Linked DNA regions of Saccharomyces cerevisiae S288C. The gene in region 1 interacts genetically with each later gene. Each region holds a gene or a part of one and is shown in the gene's direction. Other genes may lie near its edges. The genes, in order: AVT4 and AVT7.

Evidence for each region.
Region 2: of AVT4 (region 1) and AVT7, changing one enhances a phenotype caused by changing the other (phenotypic enhancement), as found in Saccharomyces cerevisiae (one study listed by BioGRID).

What each region holds. Positions count from the first base shown.
Region 1 is NC_001146.8:432,895-437,640, forward strand, and holds AVT4 (Avt4p), read left to right. Parts: upstream 1-2,104; coding exon 2,105-4,246; downstream 4,247-4,746. Other genes in the region: DNA-directed DNA polymerase alpha catalytic subunit POL1, read left to right, coding at 1-1,599; MIC27 (Mic27p), read left to right, coding at 4,719-4,746. UniProt on the Saccharomyces cerevisiae protein: Involved in amino acid efflux from the vacuole to the cytoplasm. Capable of transporting large neutral amino acids including tyrosine, glutamine, asparagine, isoleucine and leucine.
Region 2 is NC_001141.2:197,166-201,157, reverse strand, and holds AVT7 (Avt7p), read left to right. Parts: upstream 1-1,754; coding exon 1,755-3,227; downstream 3,228-3,992. Other genes in the region: KTR7 (putative mannosyltransferase), read left to right, coding at 1-668; YIL086C (uncharacterized protein), read left to right, coding at 697-1,005; AIM19 (Aim19p), read left to right, coding at 1,039-1,512. UniProt on the Saccharomyces cerevisiae protein: Probable amino acid transporter of unknown specificity.

The sequences.
Region 1 (4,746 bases):
GATATTCGTCAACAAGCTCTAAAATTGACTGCCAATTCTATGTATGGTTGTTTGGGTTATGTTAACAGTAGATTTTACGCAAAGCCGCTCGCCATGTTAGTCACTAATAAGGGTCGTGAGATTTTAATGAATACAAGACAACTAGCTGAAAGTATGAATCTTCTTGTAGTTTATGGTGATACAGATTCGGTCATGATAGATACCGGTTGTGATAATTATGCGGATGCAATTAAAATTGGCTTGGGATTTAAAAGGCTAGTAAATGAGCGCTATAGATTATTGGAGATTGATATTGATAATGTTTTTAAGAAGTTACTATTACATGCCAAGAAAAAGTACGCTGCTTTGACTGTAAATTTGGACAAAAATGGTAATGGAACTACTGTTCTAGAAGTTAAAGGGTTGGACATGAAGCGTCGTGAATTTTGTCCACTTTCGAGGGACGTTTCTATACATGTTTTAAACACCATCCTGTCAGATAAGGACCCAGAAGAAGCATTGCAAGAAGTGTATGATTACTTAGAAGACATCAGAATAAAAGTGGAAACCAATAACATTAGAATTGATAAATATAAGATCAATATGAAGCTTTCAAAAGATCCCAAGGCCTACCCAGGTGGTAAAAACATGCCTGCAGTCCAAGTAGCTCTAAGAATGCGTAAGGCTGGTAGAGTTGTTAAAGCTGGCTCTGTCATCACTTTTGTGATCACAAAGCAGGATGAAATAGACAATGCAGCGGATACGCCGGCTCTTTCTGTGGCTGAACGTGCCCATGCATTGAATGAGGTAATGATTAAAAGTAACAATTTGATACCTGATCCACAATATTATCTCGAGAAACAAATATTCGCGCCGGTAGAAAGGTTGTTAGAAAGAATTGATAGCTTCAACGTGGTGCGTTTGAGTGAAGCGCTTGGTTTAGATAGTAAAAAGTATTTTAGAAGAGAGGGCGGTAATAACAATGGAGAAGATATTAATAATTTGCAACCCTTAGAAACAACAATTACAGACGTTGAAAGGTTTAAGGATACTGTAACATTAGAATTAAGTTGCCCATCATGCGATAAAAGGTTTCCATTTGGTGGTATTGTATCTTCAAATTACTATCGCGTGTCATATAATGGTTTACAGTGCAAGCATTGTGAGCAACTTTTTACTCCTCTTCAATTAACTAGCCAAATAGAGCATTCTATAAGGGCACACATTTCCTTATATTACGCAGGGTGGTTACAGTGTGATGACAGCACATGCGGTATAGTTACAAGACAAGTCTCCGTTTTTGGTAAGCGTTGTTTGAATGACGGCTGCACGGGTGTCATGAGATACAAATACAGTGACAAGCAATTGTACAATCAACTTTTATATTTCGATTCTTTATTCGATTGTGAAAAAAATAAAAAGCAAGAATTGAAGCCAATATATCTACCCGATGATCTCGACTACCCCAAGGAACAGCTGACAGAATCATCTATTAAGGCTTTAACAGAACAAAACAGAGAACTAATGGAAACCGGCCGGAGCGTTGTTCAAAAATATTTGAACGATTGTGGACGTCGCTACGTTGATATGACTAGCATATTTGATTTCATGCTAAATTAGGTAAGTATTTTGTATGTGTTGTGTGATCTCATGAATATTCTATATAGTAAGAAAAGAATACAACTGTACATACGCATCCTACTAGATACCTAATGTACAGACATCGGAAGGAGCGCTAGGAAGCTTTTATTATTGAAGGTTTTCAGCGATATTCTGAGAATGTTTTTTCGGCTCTGGTGATCAGTTCTCACATGCATCATCCTTTAATAAACCCATGCATTAAGATTCGCCTTATCAGCAAGATCAGATAAGCGAACAGCTTCATCAATGAAATAGAATGCTTAAATCTTGTGAAGCACTGTCATAAGCCAGTTTGATAAAAGCAATACCCACAATATAGTTGGATATCATTTACCTTGATCTGCTCTTGCTTTCGAGGTGACATAGCATTTTTAGCCATCTGATTCCTTAGGTTCAAAGGCACTCATCATTCCTCCTCTAAAACACATTTCAACGTCATTCATAATCTGGAATCAACATAACAATATCCTAGAACACATCATCAATGGTCACTAACAATGGAGATGGTGAGCACCTTGGGATCCGAAGAAACGGAAATTTAAGGCATCCTTCCAATAATATGAAAATTCCCAGAAGGGCTCAATCAACAGTTCTCAATTCAAACCCATTTTATAGTAGGAAGTATTCTATGTCTACCTTAACGCCGAGGGATATATGTCGAAGCGTTGATTCTAGAGTATTTGTGGATATGTCTTCTCCCAATTTTCAGACTCTGGAGGATCCCCACAGAGATGAGATTATAAACAGTGTACGGCTTAACTACTTGAACAGTAGCAAAAGAAGTTCCGTCTCTCATGGAAATGAAGCAATCCCTAGGGTTAATCCGACTAAGAATTCTTCAGCAAGTACCATAGCTGCAGCAAATGTTGATAGTGATGACGATGAGACTAACCTGAGTAGCGCTGGAGGCGACATAACGCATGATATTTACAAGTTGGTTAAAGCAGAGGATCCTAAACGGCTCAGACGCCCTCGGTCCATGGAAAATGTAACACCTAAAATTGAGCACCATACTAAATTGTCATCAGCAAGTGGTTTAAATGTCCCCGGTGGCTTCAGAAGGGAATTTATTGTCAACAAAAAAAGGCAAGAACATCAATTAAATGATTCCGCTAGCTCAGACTTCACTTCGCATGAAAGCGATTCGATTAACCAGTCATCTCCATCTTCTAACCAAGATATCGATAAGGTCCCCTTTTTAACAAGAAACTTTTTGGAATTTCTATACGTGTTTGGACATTTTGCTGGTGAATCCTTCGAGGATGATTTTATCCCTGATAGCTCAAACATGATGATACGCGGAGAAGATGAAAGGAGTGCATTGCTGTCTCGGCCTGACCATATGAAAGTATTACCTTCAGCCAAAGGTACGACTTCGACAAAGAAGGTTTTTTTGATATTGCTTAAATCTTTCATTGGAACTGGCGTTTTATTTTTACCTAATGCCTTTCATAATGGTGGTTTGTTTTTCTCAGTAAGTATGCTGGCCTTTTTTGGAATTTATTCATACTGGTGTTACTACATATTGGTGCAGGCCAAATCTTCATGCGGTGTATCCTCCTTTGGTGATATTGGTTTAAAACTGTATGGACCTTGGATGAGAATAATAATTCTTTTCTCCCTAGTAATAACTCAAGTTGGATTCTCTGGAGCTTATATGATATTTACTGCAAAAAATTTACAAGCTTTTCTTGATAACGTATTCCATGTGGGCGTCCTACCTTTATCTTACCTGATGGTCTTTCAAACGATCATTTTTATTCCACTTTCGTTTATTAGAAACATTTCGAAATTGTCACTACCATCTTTACTAGCAAATTTTTTCATCATGGCTGGTTTAGTCATTGTCATTATTTTTACAGCCAAAAGGTTGTTTTTTGACCTGATGGGGACCCCAGCAATGGGTGTCGTCTATGGCTTAAATGCAGACCGTTGGACGCTGTTTATCGGGACGGCAATATTTGCTTTCGAAGGAATCGGGTTAATTATTCCTGTTCAAGACTCAATGAGAAATCCTGAAAAATTTCCTTTAGTACTTGCTTTGGTGATTCTAACGGCAACCATACTTTTCATTTCCATAGCTACATTGGGATATTTGGCATACGGCTCAAATGTTCAAACGGTTATACTGTTGAACTTACCTCAAAGTAACATTTTTGTAAACTTAATCCAGCTGTTCTATTCCATCGCAATTATGTTGTCCACACCTTTGCAGTTGTTTCCAGCTATTAAAATTATTGAAAATAAGTTTTTTCCAAAGTTCACTAAAATATATGTCAAGCACGATGATCTAACAACAAGAGTCGAATTACGTCCTAATTCAGGAAAGCTGAACTGGAAAATTAAATGGCTGAAGAACTTTATTCGTTCTATAATCGTAATCATTGTTGTATCAATTGCTTACTTTGGGTCTGATAATTTAGACAAGTTCGTTTCAGTTATAGGATCCCTCGCCTGTATTCCTTTGGTATATATATACCCATCGATGCTGCATTTACGGGGCAATAGCCTTCCAGAGACTAAAGGGGAATTTTGGAGATTCAAACCAATGTTAGATACCATTTTAATTTTCTTCGGTATTGCAAGCATGCTTTATACGTCTTACCAGAGTATATTCGGTGTCTAGACGATATATGTTGTTGCTTCATAAAGAATTTATTTGGAATCGAGGAACACTATTTTGCCATTGTCGCCATTGACAGCTTGCAGTTGCAAACGTCTTCTTAATTCACTTTATATAAACAAGGACCGCCAGGTCACAGTATTATTCGCACGAAATTATGTAGTAGGTAAAAAACACTAAAAGCATTACCCCTATATTGTTATTTAATGTTCCATCTACGATTAGTAGGTGGTGAGCATGTCTGAATATACACAATTTCATATTTATTATCAAGTTCAAGATTGCCAGAATTTTATTTTTTTTTCCAATCTGCGAATAAGCTTGATCCGATTACTCCGCTTAATGCCCCGACAACCTGAGAACTTTTAAACATATCAAGGAGTAGAGTGGGATTAATGACAATGTGATAGTTTCATAATTAAAGTAAGCAGTCAAAGACAGAAGCAGCACACCATTTACCAATACAGCTTCCAAAATGGTAAATTTTTATGATGACGTGGATG
Region 2 (3,992 bases), on another chromosome or scaffold:
CTAGGTGGGTCAATTTTCCCTGGGATGCAAAGCCAAAGTTGACAGAAAAGTTGATGGTAGACTTTTTGCTAGAGAATCATGGTCAAGTCAATAATGAGGAAGATTTGGAAGGTATACAATATCTCGTTGAAAGGGCCCGCTCTAAGGTGCCAATGCTAGAGGATTCCCTTGAAGGGGAAGATTACAATTTGTGTCATTTTTGGAGTAACTTTGAAATTGCCCGCGTTGATTTATTCGACAATGAGATCTATAACGCCTATTTTAAATTTTTGGAAGAGTCTGGAGGTTTCTGGACTGAAAGGTGGGGTGACGCGCCAATTCATTCAATTGGGTTGGGAATGACCTTGGATCTAGAAGACGTTCATTATTTCAGAGACATTGGTTATAGACACTCATCGCTGCAGCATTGTCCGAAGAATGCCTTACAAAGCCAAGAAAATCTCAACACTTTCGATGAAGGTTATAACTTCGGATGTGGATGTCGATGCGTGTGCCCCAAGAAAGGTGAAGACATCGAAGACCACTCCACCCCTTGCATGGATATTTTTTTTGAATTGCTTCACGGCAGGGAATATGAGAAGGAATTCCCTGGTTGTTACAAGCCCTCCATAAAGGACAAAGACGTGATTGAAGAGATCAGAAGAGAAAATTTTAGAGTAATTGAATAGATACAGTGTTTTCTATACATTTATACGTATGAACAAAATTATAAAAGAGTCTACCAACTTCTCCAGATATCTACGAACTGGCGGTGTACTCAACAGTCTTCGGACCACATCTAAGTTTGTTTACATTAATAACAATTCATATTTAACTCATGGAGGTTTTGATGGCAATGTAGCTACTATTTTCAATATTTCAGAATTCAATTACATCAATTCTTCGGCCAAGGGGTCACTTCTAACTTATAAAAGCATTACCTTCTTTTGTCCAAGATATTTCAAGAAACGGCCTTTAGGGAGACATGCGAAGGGAAAAGGCAAATCTGACGAAAAGATTCTATAAACTACGATTTCCAATATACTTAACACACAAGAAATGTCTGCTAAACCCGCTACTGACGATGCCAAAGATGAACTTCTATCACCATTTCGCCGGCTATATGCATTGACAAGGACACCTTATCCTGCGCTCGCAAACGCAGCACTATTAGCATCCACTCCGGTGCTATCCCCAAGCTTTAAAGTGCCTCCAACGCAATCTCCTGCCCTCTCGATACCAATGTCTAGGGTATTCTCTAAATCTTCTACTGCCAGAATCGGTATAACTACTAAAACCGCCCTTTTCTTTTCTACAATGCAAGCTATAGGTGCATACATGATCTATGACAACGACTTGGAAAATGGGGCTGGCTTCATTGCTACATGGTCCGCCTTATATTTGATTGTAGGGGGCAAGAAGTCCTTTAGTGCGTTAAGATATGGAAGAACTTGGCCGTTGGTGCTATCCTCGGTTTCATTGGCCAACGCAGTCCTTTATGGCCAACGGTTCCTTGCTACCGGATTCCAGTGATGCTTACATCTATTAATGTCTTAATATTTAATTTTGTATCCTCTGTATTATCTGTATGAACCACGTGACTTAACATGAATGGATTTGCTTCCACATCTTTCACCTCTTATCATACGTTCATAACTTCTTCATCCGAAGTCAGATTTGACCCTCAAATAGATAAGACGCCAAGAACAAGCGTCAACGGAAAGGCGAATTCTACAATCAGGACATAGCATCAAAGAGAAAAGGAATTCTAAGGTATGGAGGCTACATCAAGTGCTCTTTCGTCTACGGCGAATCTCGTTAAGACAATAGTTGGCGCTGGTACACTTGCCATTCCGTACAGTTTTAAAAGCGATGGTGTTCTGGTAGGGGTTATTCTTACATTATTGGCGGCGGTAACATCCGGTCTGGGTCTCTTTGTGCTATCGAAATGTTCCAAGACCTTAATTAATCCAAGAAACTCTTCTTTCTTCACATTATGCATGCTCACCTATCCCACTTTGGCCCCAATTTTTGATTTGGCAATGATAGTTCAATGCTTTGGTGTGGGCTTAAGTTACTTAGTTCTTATTGGTGATCTCTTTCCAGGACTGTTTGGTGGTGAAAGAAATTATTGGATAATTGCATCAGCTGTAATCATCATTCCCCTATGTTTAGTGAAGAAACTAGATCAATTGAAGTATTCTAGTATTCTAGGTCTTTTCGCGCTAGCATACATATCAATTCTGGTGTTCAGTCATTTTGTGTTTGAGCTGGGAAAGGGTGAATTAACAAATATATTAAGAAATGACATATGCTGGTGGAAAATTCACGACTTTAAAGGATTATTATCAACTTTTAGCATTATAATTTTTGCTTTTACGGGATCAATGAACCTATTCCCCATGATAAATGAATTAAAAGACAACAGCATGGAAAATATCACTTTCGTTATCAATAATTCGATATCCTTATCAACAGCACTATTTTTGATCGTTGGTTTATCAGGATATTTAACCTTCGGTAATGAAACCTTGGGTAATTTAATGTTGAACTACGATCCTAACTCAATTTGGATAGTAATTGGCAAATTCTGTCTTGGCTCAATGTTAATTCTTTCCTTCCCGCTTCTCTTTCATCCGCTGCGCATAGCAGTTAACAATGTCATCATCTGGATTGAGATCACTTATGGTGGGGCAAATCCCGAAGAGGACCCACAAGTTTCGGAATACACTCGTGCTTCCAACCTAAGACCAATTAGCATGACTGTGGAAGATCCAGCCCAGCCCAGTGATGCACTAGACGCAACTTCTTATAACGAGCAAGAATGTTTACTACCTAACGGGAACTTTGATAATGGTTCAATTGAAAGTCAAGAGAACAATAATGATGAAAGAGGGACTATGGCGGTCGCCGGGGATAACGAGCATCATGCGCCATTTGTTAAGTCTAGATTTTACTGGATTACTGCATTATTACTAATAAGCATGTATACCTTGGCGTTGTCTGTCCAGTCATTTGCACTGGTTCTTTCATTTGTAGGGGCTACAGGTTCAACGTCTATTTCATTCACTTTACCTGGATTATTAGGTTACAAATTAATAGGCTTGGATTCTTTGGCTATTGGGAAGATGATTCCACCAAAAGATAGATTTTACAAAAGGTGCAGCTTATTGCTAGTCTTCTACGGACTATCTGTGATGTTTTTGTCATTGTATGTAACTGTATTCAACCGTTCAGATGAAGCCTAAATGGACCAATAGTCATGCAAGAGAAGTATAAAACAGTATATAGTAAATAGTAAATAGAATCAGAGACAGCAGACTCAAAGTTTTATGCTTAACGCGATCATCGACTAGTTTAATACTTTATTCTATGGCACTTACAAAAAGGTATTACCCTGCTAAACAATAAAGATCCCTGAAAAAATGGAGCAGGCTCAGAGAATGTGACTTCATGCGCTTTAGTGGTAAAAATACTGCCTAAATAGTCCCTAAAAAAAAAAGAATAAAAAATAACTCCGAAGCGGGGAGTCGAACCCCGGTCTCCACGGTGAGAACGTGATGTGATAGCCGTTACACTACATCGGATTTGATTAGCTTGATTTGAATAGAAAAACATGTTACCATATCAGTAAATATGAATGATCTTTATTTATATATATATGTCCGGAAAATTGTAGGAATAAAAACCTGTTGGAGTAAAAATCAACCATCATCTATCAACTAGTAGTTACACTATCAATATATTATCATATACGGTGTTAAATGGTGACGCAAGTTATGAGAAGCTGTCATTGAAGTTGGAGGAAGCTGAAATGCAAGGATTGATAATGTAATAGGATAATGAAACATATAAAACGGAATAAGGAATAAAACGGAATGAGGAATAATCTTAATATTAGTATGTAGAAATACAGATTCCATTTTGAGGATTCCTAAATCCTCGAGGAAAACTTCTAGTATATATACTGTATACATAATATTATAGCCTTTATCAACAATGGAATCCCAACA